Cricetulus griseus: one gene and its partner. The protein of the gene in region 2 interacts with the protein of the main gene of each other region in a biochemical or structural test. Links are inferred from orthologs where the notes say so. Each region holds a gene or a part of one and is shown on either strand. Other genes may lie near its edges.

Region 1 (7,379 bases), on a different chromosome or scaffold from region 2:
AGTCCCTGAACTTTTTTGAATAGCCTCTTAGTTTATAGCCCAGCCAGGCTGCCTCAAAATTGTATAGCCCAGTGGCCTTGAACTTGGGATTCTCCTGTCTCTGTCCAAGGGCAAGTGTTATAGGCATGTGCTGCCATCCCTGGCCTCTTAATTTTTATTTGTTAAAACCTTATTTTTTAAAAAAGATTTTATTTGTTATGTATACAACATTCTGCTTCCATATATATCTGCACACCAGAAGAGGGCACCAGATCTCATAACAGATGGTTGTAAGCCACCATGTGTTTGCTGGGAATTGAACTCAGGCTCTCTGGAAGAGCAGTCGGCGCTCCTAACCGCTGAGCTATCTCTCCAGCCCTGTTAAAACCTTATTTAAATGCATTACATCACCCAATGTATGTGTTTTGCTTTTTTGCTTTCCATGATCTATAAAAGGTTTATCTGTTGTAACAAAGACTCATGTTTTTGAGGTGAGGTCTCACTATGTGACTCTAGCTGGTCTCATACTTGCTGTGTAAACCAGGCTGGCCTTGCACTCATAGAGATCCTCTTGCCTCCTGAGTGCTGGGATTGAAGGTGTGGGCCACCAACACCCAGCCCCGTCCTCCATCTTTTTCACTGTTGTTTTTTTTTTTTTTTTGACACACACACACACACGCACGCACGCACGCACGCGCGCATGGCAATGGAGTAGATGAGCAGCTACCAACTCCTTGGATGGCTTTTACTTGACAGGCTCTTGCGGTCTCTCCCTCTTCTAACTCCACTCCCTCCTGCTAGGCATGGCCTGTGCTATGGTGTCCCATTTGTTTGCCTCCATCTGCAGCTAAAACACACACACCTTACAATCCCCATGCTACCCGGAGAATTCTTTCAGGCATAGATGGTAAGGAGTGGGAGGAAGCCCTGGCTCATGTGACTAGGAAATGCAGGCACACCAGGCACCAGTGTCCTCAGGGTTCAGTGCCCACACGTGTCTCTCAACCGCTGGAGTGGGCAGGTTACCAGCATCACCAGCTCAGGTGTGCTGACGATCAACGCCAACCCTACAGCAGTCACTGTGGCCCAATTGTGGCACCGACTCACCAGGATGTTCTATGTCTATTCAATTGTGGGGCCAGCTGCCCACACCTCAGGTTGGGGTGGAGCAGTCACAGGAGCACCCTTACAGGTCTGTCTCCAGCATCCAACCATTGCTATGTCTCAAGTCCTAAACCCTGCCCTAGCCTGTGGTCTTCTCTCACACAGCACAGGTGACTGCATCCTGCCTCACAGTCTCCATTAAGCTACTGCTCCTCAATGCTCACTTCAAACCCCCTCCCTATCCTCTCTCCCCCATGTTCTGATGTCCCCCTCCTGTCCCGTGCCCCATACTCTCTGAATATCTAAGATTCTGTCATTTTAAAATCTTTTCTTTTCTTTTTTTTTTTTTTTGCAGTGCCAGGGCTTTGTGAGTGTTAGGCAAGTGCCTCTCATCCTATCCAAACCTTTTGCCATCTTAAAAAGAAGGGGGCTGGAGACATGGCTCAGCATGCTCTTCCAAACAACCAGGGTTCACCAGGACCCACAAAGTGGCTGACAACCATATGTAACTAGTTCCAGGGGATTCAAAGCCCTCTTCTGTCCTCTGTTCATGCAGGCATTAAGTTACCCATACACATAGTACACATTTTACATTCCTGTAGTCCTTCCTCAGCCCCAGCATGGCTTCAGCTCCCTCCCCCTCAGTAACTACTGAAGCAGACATTAAGAATCCTCTTTGGGGATTCTTCCTTGCCCAAAGCATCTGACAACTGTCCTTTCCCTTCTACCAGACCATCGGGACAGCTCAGGGTGTGGCAGCTCCTGTGTCTTGCCTTCCCTTCCAAGTTCATATACCTGTCTCTGGGTGCCCATGTCAACATCACCAATCCACACTTCCTTCAGTGACCTCCAGAGCACCCCAAATTCATCATGGCCAAACTTGAGATCTTGTCTTTTCCTCCTGTGTCCCTCAGCTGAAAAAGTCCCTCCCTTGCCAAAGAGCTAAAGAAAGCTAGAAGAGGTACTTACAGAAACTCTCCCTTAGACCTCTGAAGCCTGCCTTCAAGCCTAAGGTCACACAGGCCTGGGCCTCCCCAGCCACCACCATCCTCATCCACACACCTAGCATGTCCCCAAGGTTCCCTCAACACCCCCATTAGGAGGAAGCCAGTGAGCTTGTTAGCAGATGGACCTACAATCTCCCTCGAGGTTTTTTTTTGGGGGGTTCAGGAACCCCACATGGCCATGTCCCCTGCTTTACTCATGATTGCAGCTTCTTGAAGCTACACCTCTTGCCTTTGGCACTGAGGCTGCCCAGCCTACTCAAACACAGGTAGGCAGACTGCCTGGCTCCAAAGCTGCTTCCCAGTCCCCCTGCTATCTCATCTACCCGACTCTTCACTGTGCTGAGCCCTTCACTGCACTGGTTGCAGAGCTCTATAGTTTTCAAGGCCCAATCTCAGTACTGATCCCATCTATCCTCTCTCAGCAGCCCAGAGAAGGCTGCCCAAGGCTCCACAGCACAATGAAAGGTTAACCTTTAGCACTTCCAGCATGTGGCCGCTCAGTCCCTAGACCACCTTCCTTTCTTCAGTGCTCCTGGTAGTACCCAGACTCCCCACTTTTTACTCAGGTACTGGTTGGCCCACTGTTGTCCCTGGCTGCCCCATGTGGGGAGGTAAGTAGGTTGGCAGTAAGAATGCAGCCACGAATCCCTGGACAAGGACGGAAAAGAAACCAAAATCCTCTTTCTTTTCTTTCTTTCTTTTTTTTAATAAATTTAATCTTCTCCCCAGAGCAACTAATACTAACTAAAAGGGGTATGTGGCCTGGGGTCAGGGGCAGTGAATGCTAGGAGTCATAGTCCTCTTCATCCTCTGCATCAGGTGCTGAGGGGCCAGGGGGCGCTGGGGGCAAAGGCAGAGGAGAGGTGAAGGGCATGAAGGGGGCTGGAGGGCTGCAGGGCAGAAAATGGAGAAAATCAGGGCATGCTACTGTGCCGTGCTGTGCCCAACCCACAGGCCCTGCCACCATGCTCCAGAACCAGATGTGGTATAAATCACCCATTATGTCACAGGAGCCAAGTGTTGTCCCCCCCAACACACACAGGAGAAAAGGGCCCAGAGAATAGCACTGTCCAGGTTTTCTTCCCAACTACAGTGGGAACAAGACCTCACAACATTCCCACTCCCTAAGTGAGCCTCCACCATCAATCATCACTACTACCACCACCAAGTGGCTAGGGAAGTGAAAATTGGCTCTGGGAAGTTTGGCATGTCCCCTTCTGGTGTCCCTGGGCTGAATACCTCTGAAAGGGGGCAGGGGGGTGACTGGCTTGGGGTGGAGGCTGTGGTGTCTCTTCTTCTCCATCAGTATCAGTGTCCTCGGACTCTTCCTGTGAGCACAGCAAGGGGTCAGGGTTCATGAGAGAAGGCCTGGGCCCATGGTTGGGGAGCCCAGACCCTAGGAGCGCAGGGATAGATAGGCCTTCAAAATGTATACATGGAGACAGAGGTACAAAAGGTCATAGATAAGGATAGGTGCAGGCTGCCTTTCCCGACCAAGCTGGCCTCACTCACCTCCTGTTCTGAGTCTGTCCCAGACAGCTTCTTGTCTTTGGCTTTACTTCCGGTGCCTCCATTCTTCCTGCCACTGCTGCCTGGTTTCCGGCCCCTTCGGGAAGGTGCAGTCCATCTGCCCAGAGGACTCTCTCCTCCTGTTCACCCCCCTGCCACCCCCAACCCTCGAGGCCTTGGCCTTTCCCACCTATATACCTGGTCTTGGCTACCCACCTTCGAGGACCCTTGTCCCCATCCATGTGGTTGTCTTCGCCATCCCCTTGCATGTCAGGCACGGATGCCACCAAGTCTTTCAAGAAGTCAAACTGCTGCTCCAGCTCAATGCACTGCTTCCTGGAAGAAGTGAGAAAGAAAGGCGTTCAAAGGGGTCCCAAACACTTCCGGAAGGACAGAAACAGCCTTTTCTTGTCATGACACTGGAAAATGATAAACTCCCCTCCCCACTTCCACCCGGCCTCGAGGGCTTGGCTCTCGTTATTCCCTCCACCTGGAACACCTAATCCCTCCTACATCAGTCCAAACCCACCAAACTGGCTCAAACTCACTCAGCCTTGCACCACTCCCCAGTCAGGACACTGCCTCCTCATAAGCCCTTCCCAGCTCTGCGGCCACTGGCCACTCACAGGTGGGACGTGGTCATGGTTTTGGCATTTCGAGACTGGGTCACCTGGCAAGCCTTCTTCAACAGGGACTCCAGGAAGAGTTCGAGCGCCCGCGCTGAGGGGCGTCAAGGAGAACCCGAGAAGCGGAGTGCCGAAGTCCCGCCCGACGCCCCTCAGCCCAGCCAGCCCCCTAGCAGGATACAGATGATGACAGGCACTGCAGCCGCCACCTTCCCAATCTCTTCGTCCGTCTGCATGATCTTCTTGATCCGCGCCTGCCGAAGGAAGGGGGCAGAGCTCGGACGCGGCCGCCGGCGTCCCTGCAGGAGGCTGGGGGCAGCAAAGGGGCACCCCGAGAGAAGGGGGCGGGAGGCACCACGCCAGGCGAGCACGGAGGGGGCGGGGCTTCAGGCCGCGAACACCTAAGGGCACCCGCACCCCCACCCCCAGCAGGACCTGGGCCCGAGCCTCCCGGGAGCCCGGCCCGCTGAGGCCCGGCCCAGCCACGTGCTCACCGGCGGAAACCGCGCGTTGTACTTCTTCTTCTTGCTTGGCATCTCGGGGCCTCTCTCGCCGCGCCGGGCCCAGCGCCGCCGCCCGCAGCCTACCGGCTCGGGGCCTGTTCGCCGCCGGCCCGCCGCGGTCCCCTCGGGTCCTGCTGCCGCCTGCTCCGCCCCCGCCGCTACCCGCAGGGTCCTAGCGCCGCCCGTCGAAAAGCAGCTCCCCAGACCCAGGCGCTCCGCTTTTGGAGCCTCGGAGGCGGAGCGCGTCCTTCTCAGGGCTCGCCCGCCACGCCCACCCGCCCCCAAGCTAGAAGTACGAACGTTGGCCCCGCCCCCTGCAGGCCGGCTCCTCCCAGGGGTCTCGCGCTGGCCACGCCCCTGACGCAGCCCGCCCCTTTTCATGGAGCCCCGCCCCCACGCGGCTGGTTCCGCCTCTGGCCCCGCCCCGTGACTGCGTTTGTCTATAAAGTTGTTGTTGAGGTGGCGGGACCCTAAGATGGCGGCGGCGGCGGCGGCCGTGGCAGGGGCGGGGCGCGGCGCGGGTGGCGGCGCGGACCCCGGGCAGGAACGGAGCCGGGCCCGAAGTTGGGTTGGTGCGGAACGGAGCGAAGGCCGAAGGTGACTGCGGGGCGGCGAGAGGGACAGCCCCGGGGTGGGGGCAACCCGTAGGCTGTGGGCACTAATGGCGGCGGGTGTGGTAGGACTGAGCCTGGCCCTCCCGCGGGCTCCATCCAGATGAGGTTCGAGTCTGGGTGGCGCCCATTGACCGCAGTGGGCCGCTGTCCTGCCCTCTCTAGGCCTCAGTGTCTCGGTCTTTAAATGGGCCCCAAATAGATGACCGAGGAGGCCTGGCCCTCCACAGCCACCTTTTAGGGTTGGCAAACAAACCTGCGTTTTGCCTATATTGCTTAAATCGCAGAGCCATGCTACCTGCTGGTCTCTAGTCAAGAGGTGTGGCAGAGTAGCCAATTCACACTTCAGCTGTTCACTCACTATAGGTGTGACCTTTTTTCTCTATAAAGTTTCAGTTTCCTTGTTTGTAAGCAGTGCAAGTAGTACTAACAATAGCGACTCCACCTCAGGCATTTTATTCTAGGAGACAAATCTAGGCAGGATCAGTTGTTATCCCATCGTGAACGTGAAGCAACTGAGGCACAGATATTAAGTCTTGCCCAAGGCCACACAGTTTAGCAGTGCCTGGCACCCTCCAGGACCCAGCACTTTGTACCTACTTTCTCAAACCTCCAATGACTCAGTTCCCTCACAACAGGATGGAACCAAATGAGGAGTTGGAAGAGGAGGACTCTCCCGGTGGCCGTGAGGATGGCTTCACTGCTGAGCACCTGGCTGCAGAGGCCATGGCAGCCGACATGGACCCCTGGCTGGTATTTGATGCCCGTACTACACCTGCCTCAGAGCTGGATGCCTGGTTGGCCAAGTACCCACCATCTCAAGTTACTCGCTATGGGGACCCGGGTTCACCCAACTCTGAACCTGTGGGTTGGATTGCAGCCTATGGGCAGGGTTACACCCCCAACTCAGGGGATGTTCAAGGGCTGCAGGCAGCCTGGGAGGCTCTGCAGACCAGTGGGCGGCCCATCACGCCAGGTACCCTGCGCCAGCTGGCTATCACCCACCATGTGCTCTCTGGCAAGTGGCTGATTCACTTGGCACCTGGCTTCAAGCTGGACCATGCCTGGGCTGGCATTGCCAGGGCTGTAGTTGAGGGCCGTCTTCAGGTGGCCAAGGTGAGCCCACGGGCCAAGGAGGGTGGGCGCCAGGTCATCTGTGTTTACACGGACGACTTCACGGACCGCTTGGGAGTGCTGGAGGCAGATTCTGCCATCCGTGCTGCGGGCATTAAGTGCTTGCTCACTTACAAACCTGATGTCTACACCTACCTGGGCATCTACCGAGCCAACCGCTGGCACCTTTGCCCCACTCTCTATGAGAGCCGTTTCCAGCTTGGAGGCAATGCCCGTGGCTCTCGAGTGCTGGACCGTGCCAACAATGTAGAACTGACCTAGTGGGGCCACATGGGAGAGAACAACTTTTGCTCTCCTGCTGGGGATGGATCCTTCTTTCTTCTCTTCCTTGTCCCAAGAAGGCCAAACTCCCTAGCTCTGAGGACTGATTGATTTGGGAACTGCCTGTACTCGGTCCCTTTGAACTTCTCTCTGTGCCGGGTTGACTCCAGCCCCCACAGGCTGGGGGCTTTGGCTCCCTGAGGGCCGGGCCCTCAGCCGCCCTCTTTGATGCTGCTCCCCGCCACTGCCCAGGACCACAGCTTGGGTGCAGATGCTCAAGAAAGCCTGCCCTGGTCACCTCTGTCCCCTACTATACTCAACCTGCATCTTCCTTTTCTTTCCTCCTTCATAAGGGAGAAAACTTAGTGCTTCCAGTCCCTGCCCTTGGTGATATTGTAGCCCAGGTGGCAGGGCCCCTACAGGACTGAGCATGCTGTTGGGGCCTATATATGTCTGGCCAAGAGAGGATGCAGGGTCATGGACATAGGGCCTGCTCCTCCCTGCAAACTCATAGCCCGCATCACCAACATCCCCTCCCTGACTACCTTGACGTGTGCCTGCTCCTGGCATTTCAATAAAACCCAGCTTGGGTCTGTGTCTTGAGGTTTTTTTTTTTTTAATACTGTCCTGATGGTTGCCTGCTTT
Region 2 (7,574 bases):
TTTATAGGTATAAAATTGATGAAAACTACCTATATTGCCAAAGGTCCTAAATTCGAGGTGAAGACATCCCTTCGAACAAAGCGGATAATTTAAAGGCGCAAGCAATTTCAGAGTAAGAACACGAACACGAACGAACACACACACACACACACACACACACACACACACACACAGAGAGCGGGGGGGGGCAACCGTCTAAGGCCGGGGACACAGCTCAGCAGAACACGACACACACACACACACAGGCAACCGTCTAAGGCCGGGGACACAGCTCAGCAGAACACGAACACACACACACACACACACACACACACACACACACACACACACACGCAACCGTCTAAGGCCGGGGACACAGCTCAGCAGAACACGCGCGCACACACACACACACACACTCACACATAGTCAACCGTCTAAGGCCGGGGACACAGCTCAGCAGAACCTGCCCAGCAGGCCAAGTCGCAGAGTAGAACAAAACAACCCCTATTTCATCCCTGAACTTAAACCAAACGAGCATTAAGAGAAAAAAAAAACAAAACAGTGATCTACAAAGCCACCAGGACAAATCAGTGCTGAGGACAGGGCCCCCCTCGCCCGTTGGCTGTGGGGACGTGTTCAAGCCCCAAGAGACGACAGTGTTAGGAGCAGAGGGCTAGGGTGGGCGCCTGCCCTGAGGAATGCGGGAAGCATGCGATCCCGAAGGCGTCCGTGCAGGGCTCCGGGAGCCGGGCTGCGGAGCGCCCCGACAGGCTGCATCCCCACAGCCGCCCGCCCGCCCCAGGTGAGCCCAGCTTTTACCCTCCGTTGAAGGCATACGGCGAGAAACGCATCTGCACAGGGACGGCGGAGCCGTGAGGCCCCATGCCCAGCTCCCGCTCGGGGTTCCCGAAAGCAGCCGTGGAGAGCATCACACCGCGCTCCTGCTGTCTCACAGCAAAATGGCCGCCGGGACAGGTCCACTTCCGACCCGACCCGCCCCTCCCACCGGGCTCCTCTAGCCCGCACTCGTCGTTGCTCTTGGAGGTCTGTGCCTATGCCCCGCTACATATCCAGCTTGGGGTCCACCAATTAATTCCAGGAGACCTGTTTTCCAACCCCAAGAAAACATTCGATTCACTCATGGCCATACCAAAAACAAACAAAAAAACAAAAACTAGTTGCAGAGCAATGACAGCTCCGATTGTCACATTGGTGAAGTGGCATTTGAGGAGTTGCAGCTCCTGCTATGTTCAAGTCCTAGTGGTCAAGATGCATGGTCAGCTGTGTGGTATACGCAGCCACGCGATCCAGGAAGCGATACTAGGTTTCGCCAGCCAGAGCCTGATGGATCGTATTAACTTGACAGAATCTAGAATCACCTAGTAAAACCTCGCGGGCATGCTTATGCAGGTGATTTCAGGACAGTGTAGCTGAGAAGGGAAAACCCACCCTAAATATAGGTGGCACCATCCCATTGCCTGGCTTTCTGAACAAAAAGGAGGGGGAAAAAAAGAAAGAAAGCAAACTAACATTCATCTCCTTAGACTTCCGGTCTGCGGATGCAGTGTGACTCCCCCCTTCTCCAGACGTCAGGCTTCCCCATGGTGGACTGTACCCCTCAAGCCGTATGCCAAAAGGAACCTCCTTCTCTTAAGTTGCCTCTTGTCAGGCCTTTGTTAAGTTTTCTTAATGTCTTAAGGTTCACTATTCTTCCAAGAGAGAATGTTTCATTTAGAAGAAAATAGGTAACCAATACTATTGTACTTATTAGAATCCATGCAGAGGTCAACACCCTAGGCACATAACACACACAGGTAATATCCATCTCTCACACACACCCCTAACCTAAAGGAGCTTATCACCTCGTTGATAGTGCTAAATCCAAGGGAAAGGGAATAAGCAGAACTTCCTTTCTGCCTAGGTGAACCATATCAAGAAGAAATCAAGATACGCTGGAATTCAATCAAACGTTAAGAAGCAACCTAAGAGACAACTGCTGTTTTCTTGGAACAGCCCAGAAGTCAGCTGTTCGTCGCTGAGCTAAAATGTAAATGAATTTGTGACTCCACCTCCCCTGTGTCGTTGTCGTTCTTCAGATACCAGTTAACTTTCACTGAGGGTATGCTATTCGTGTCATTGAAATCACAAATTTCTAGGAGGCAGCTGCTACTACCATTCAGCTTTATGGCGTTAAGTGGAGGATGTAGGGAGCTTGCCGAGGGTAACACTGTAAGTGCAAAATCCTATTCGACTGGCAGGGCGTGGTAGCCTACGCCCTTAATCCCCTCGCTCCGGCGGCAGAGGCAGGAGGATCTGAGTTCGAGGCCAGCCTGATCTACAGAACGAGTCCCAGGACAGCCAAGGCTACACAGAGAAACCCTTTTTCAAAACAACAACACCCATGGGAGGCCAAGGATGTAGCTCATTGACAGATCGCTTGCTTGAGTTTCACCCCTATCGTACATCCCCAACAGTCACCTCTGCACCCTCCAAGTTTGCAGCCTCTAACGAGAACCGGTCGGGAAGAGTTGTCCAGGGGGCCCCGCCCCAGCCCCATCCTCGCCCCGGAACTTCTGGGGAGCCCCGCCCCCTCATTTCCTTAGCCAGGGATCCGCCGCCCGTGCCGGGCTTCAGTCAAAAAGCGCAACTGCCGGAAGTGACGGCATCAGATGTGCGTCGGGCCTCGGCGGGGTCGAGTCCGGGAGCGGTGGCGGGTAGCTGCTGGCGGTTTGGCTGGCTGGCTGGCTGGCTCTCTCTCTGCGGTCGCGTCATTTTTTTCTCCGCAGCGCCCAGGTAACGGTCGTTCGGCTTTTTTCCCTCTGCTCCGAGGGCCTTGACCAAGGCGACCTGTGCGGCGGGCATCCCGGAGACTGCCGGCGGAGACGCGGGCGTGGGGCGCGCGGCCCGGCGGGGAACGGTCCCCCGCGCGCGCCGCGGCAGCTCGGCCGGCAAGTACCAGTCGCCGGGCCACCGCTTCGGCGGGGTCCTCCAAACCCAGCGCCGAGTGTGAGCCTCCCTGAGGGACTGGCACCGGGCGGCACCGCGCGCCTCGGCTGCTCCTCCCCCCCCCCATTAGAAGACGGGTTTTTACCCAGGCCTGGGGCCGCTCCCCCGTAAGGGTAGTTGTGTTAGGGAGCGGTTTGGAGACTCTTAAACTCATCTCGTCAGCAGCAGCCTGAGATTCGAGCACGACAGAGATCCCCGCTTGGTTTGCTCGCTCTCCCGTCTCTGGGCTCCGGTTAGCGGGTGGTTTTTCCCGAAACCCTGGGTTAGACTTTTCTGAGAAGAGACAGCAGTACTGGGTTAGGCAGGCGCGTGAAGACGGCAGAATTGTTTCTCAGATACTCAGTTTGATGGCTGCGTTTCCTAAAAGATGAAGACCCTGAAAAAACCGGCTAAGAATAAGTTAGTGTAGTGATTATTTTCGAGTTTGTGATACAAGTGAGGAAAGATGGTTTACATCGCCTGCAGGTGTGAGATGTGACCTCTGCGTAGCGTAGCCTTCTGCCAATTTCCGCCTTACATATAATCAGCCGGTTCGGTAAACTTGATTTGCACGAAATGATCTGGGTAAATCTCTGGTTATAATTACATCCAATCATCGTTATCTTTTTCGCTCAACTATAGCGGTGACCTCTGAAATTGAATTTTCTCAGATTTATCCCATCCCAGCAGAGAGGTGGTGGCGCACGCCTTTGATCCCAGCACTCGGGAGGCAGAGGCAAGCGGATCTCTGAGTTAGAGGCCAGCCTGATCTACAGAGCTACACAGAGAAACCGTTGCTCAAAAGATTAAAAAAAAGAAAGAAATCCCATTGCCTGTGTAATAACATCTTACACTCCGAATTATGTAACCCTCCTATAGTTGCTTGTCATCTCTTGTAGAGACTTTCCATACTAAGCCTGTCACTTACATACTGGATGCTCTATTATATTAGCCTTTGTCTTACTTTAACTTTTTGTGTGTGCTGATTCGTACATTTTTGTTCCTCATGCTAGATCCGTGTTAAATTGCTCCTGGCTTGTGAAAGATCTGGCCTCTCAAACGGTACGTAACTTTATGTATGTGAATGTTTTGCCTGTATGTCTGCTTGTATACCACATGCATACCTGGGGTCCATGGAAGACAGAGAGCACTGGTTGCCTGGGACTGGATTTACAGCTAGTTGTGAGCAGCCATGTGGGTGCTAGGAATCAAACCTAGGCCTTCTGAAAAACAACATTGCTCCTAACTGCTCTCCAGCCTCTTGACTTTAGTTTGCATTCTTTCTTCCATAGCATTCATTCATGGTTATGCACTGCATGCCAGGCCTAGTCCTAATTGAAAAGATTTGAAGACATGAATGCTGGTTTTAGTTTCTTGCATCTTGCCTTACTTAGTAAATAACTGTGATTTTAGTGCTTGCTAATTTTTTTACAGTTATTTGTATTTTTTTTTAATATTGACAAGGACTGTATCCTCTTCATCTTTATCTTTGTATCTGGAGCACTTCTGTTACAGAATAATAACATTTTCTGATGATATCAGAAAAAGTGTAATTTTCTTGTAAATTTAGTATCTCTTGTATGTCTAGTATCTCTCAGAAACAGGCATCTCTCTCTTTTTTTTTTTTTTTGGTTTTCGAGACAGGGTTTCTCTGTGTAAGCTTTGGAGCCTATCCTGGCACTCACTCTCAAACTCACAGAGATCTGCCTCTGCCTCCCGAGTGCTAGGATTAAAGGCATGCAGCACTAACACCCGGCCTTCTTTTTTTAAGATTTATTATGTATAGTGTTCTGTCTGCATGTATCCCTGCAGGCCAGAAGAGGGCACCAGATTTAGTCCCAGCACTTGGGAGTCAGAGAAAGGTGCATCTCAGTGATTTCAAAGGCCAGCCTGGTCTACAAAATGAGTTCCAGGACAGCCAGGACTACACAGAAAAACCCTGTCTTGAAAAACAAAAGGAAAAAGTGCTTCTCAGTAATGAGTTTGTAGGAGTATCTTTTGGGTCCTCTGTCCTCTCAAAGAGATTATGAAATTCTTTGATTGATTTAGTAACATCAGAAGAAGGCCTGTGTCAGCATATACTTAAAATGACCAGGGGTCGTGAGTATAAGACTTGTAAATTTTAGATGATAATAAATGTTTAGAATAAGATCTGATTGTTGGGCTGGGGAGATAGCTCAGTGGTTAAGAGGAGTTACTGCTATTATAGAGGACCTGGGTTTGGTTCCCAGCACCTAGATGGTAGGTAGCTCACAACTATCTGAAACTCCAGTTGTAGGGAATCCAATACTCCCTTTCTAACTTCTGCAGGCACTACACATGTGATGTGCATATATACATGCATACAAAATACTCATACACATAAAATGAAAACCTTTTTTTAAAAATGTAATAATATCTGTCCTGTACTTAACTATGTGTATATAGATTCACCCACTCCCGCTCCCCCCCTTCTCCCTCCCCCCCCCACATACATATACACATTTTCTCTGTGTAGCCCTGGCTGTCCTGGAACTCAGATCTGCCTGCCTCTGCCTCCCATGTGCTGGGATTAAAAGTATGTGCCTCCACTGCCCCGCAATTAGATTCATCTTGATTGATAGCTCATTCAGTTTGTTCATCCATTGTTGATTCATTCAGTCCTTAGGGCATCTCTGAGCAAGTTATTGGTCTGCATGAACTGACTTGATTAAAACAAATGTCTTTAAAGAATTGGGGATGGGCATTTGCCTAGCATTTATGAGACTATGTTCTGTCACTACCATTACCAATTTAAAAAAAAAAAAAAAAAACTTTACATAGTCTCTTATTCCATATGCATATTGAATATGGCCACTAAAATGATGATTTATGAAGCCCAGTTCCAGGCATAGTTTTCATTAGTATGTTCTAAGGAGTTAAGAATAAATATTGTATTTATAAAATTGATGTATCATTTATTGTTTAATCTGTCTTTAATTAAAATTGGAACACAAAAATGATTACCTATGCTAAAAATGATTACACAATATGCTTATTGTGTCCAGTTCAATATTTGTGGCACTTTATGCTTGAGACATTGTGAAGGGTATAAAACTGAGAATATTTAAAAACCAGCATTGACCTAATAGTGCTGTATAAACACTGCTTAAGAAAGTATTCTCTGATAATACAATTTGCTTAGGAATTAGTTTTCTCTAGGTGTTCCCCCATACCAAAAACAAGTTCTTTCTACCTGGCCACTAACCAGGTTTATTGGTTTATTCATCAACCAATAAGAGAAACATATACACAGAAGGACATCACCACATCATCTCCTCTTTTCTAAATAAAAAGGGTTTTATCCTTAACATGGTAAAATTACATATAACAAAACAGTTATCAAGTAAGAACTATAGTTACAATATTTAGTCCATTAACATTTAGCAAGATTTAAAGAAAATATTCTATCTATCCTATCTTTGTGAGTCTAAAGTCTTATGTGTAACTTATCTTTTATCATAACTAAGGAAAACAGTAACTGTAACTATTTGTCTTCAACTCCATCAAAGACCATAGAAGGATAGTATATAAACTCTAGAATTGACAGAGACATCTCACTGCCTGGTCAATCACCCAAAGTTCCTCTATAACATTGGAACATCCATCTTCGGCCCATAGGCCATAGTGTGTCTGACAGACTTCTCAGTGAAACAGGAAATTTTAAACTGTCCTTCTGTATTGGCAGACATTTCCATGAAGCAGGAACCCTGCAGGACTGTCCCATTTTGTTTCAGCAGTTCAGCAGTCACTTTCCTGTGGGCACTGCATGTCCACCATATACGGTATACAGGCAAACAGTCCAGGCAAGAGCAGTTTCTTGCCCAAATAGTCATGTCAAAAGCAATAGGCTTTTGGGATTGAAAGATAAATATATTTCTCCAGGATAGATTTTGTGTGTGTATGTTTTGTGTGAATATGAAACCTATTTAAACTTAAAGCATTTTTCCCCCAAGCACAGCATCACTGTTTCATGGTGTGTGAAGATAACCCAGAAAATTAAAGGAGTTTCAAAAGAGAATTTGCAGAGGATGCTCTAGGAAAAGTCTGAGTACTGAAGACAGTGAGAACCATGGACCAGAACAACAGCCTTCCACCTTATGCTCAGGGCTTGGCCTCTCCACAGGTAACAACAGGAAGGGGGGACAAGAAGGGCTGACAGAGAAGGTGAAATTTAACCATCCAGTAATGGACATGGATTTGTATGTTTCTCAAGCTTGTTTTACTTTGTGAAAATTTATGCTGTGGATAGGCATAATGCCCCTTTGCTTGGGAGTTTATTTAGAAGACTGTTCCATCTTTGTGAACTGTAGAACATTTATTTCATTTGCTTCAGGAGGTTCCTTCTAGACCCTCTCGCAGTCACTTTCCTAGCCCAAGATGACAACCAAATCTGCTTTCCAAAATTAAACATGTTTTGATGTAAAATGTATGTGTGTATTTGCAATAGAATTAAACCTAAATTGTTACTAATTTAGTATAAATTTTGCCATTTTTTCTTTCTACTTCCACATAAATAATTACTAAATCTAACAATGTTTGTAAGACATAGAAGCATTATAGAAAAGGCAGTTAACAGTATTTTATAGGCT

Evidence for each region. The genes of interacting proteins can lie anywhere in the genome.
Region 1: the proteins of Tbp (region 2) and Drap1 are reported together in a solved structure, tested with the Homo sapiens proteins (2 studies listed by BioGRID, with this or other methods). The link is inferred for Cricetulus griseus from reciprocal best matches to the Homo sapiens genes TBP and DRAP1.

Annotation. Positions count from the first base shown.
Region 1 is NC_048596.1:53,912,325-53,919,703, reverse strand, and holds Drap1 (dr1-associated corepressor), read right to left. Parts: upstream 4,968-7,379; 5' UTR 4,762-4,967; coding exon 4,720-4,761; intron 4,480-4,719; coding exon 4,407-4,479; intron 4,320-4,406; coding exon 4,226-4,319; intron 3,936-4,225; coding exon 3,798-3,935; intron 3,718-3,797; coding exon 3,603-3,717; intron 3,419-3,602; coding exon 3,330-3,418; intron 2,981-3,329; coding exon 2,875-2,980; 3' UTR 2,770-2,874; downstream 1-2,769. Other genes in the region: CUNH11orf68 (UPF0696 protein C11orf68 homolog), read left to right, coding at 5,204-5,325, 5,978-6,734. UniProt on the Homo sapiens protein: The association of the DR1/DRAP1 heterodimer with TBP results in a functional repression of both activated and basal transcription of class II genes.
Region 2 is NC_048595.1:294,439,898-294,447,471, forward strand, and holds the start of Tbp (TATA-box-binding protein), read left to right. Parts: upstream 1-2,632; 5' UTR 2,633-2,772; intron 2,773-3,977; 5' UTR 3,978-4,026; intron 4,027-6,938; exon of another isoform or gene 6,939-6,943; 5' UTR 6,944-7,054; coding exon 7,055-7,108; intron 7,109-7,574. Other genes in the region: Psmb1 (proteasome subunit beta type-1), read right to left, coding at 799-908. UniProt on the Homo sapiens protein: The TFIID basal transcription factor complex plays a major role in the initiation of RNA polymerase II (Pol II)-dependent transcription.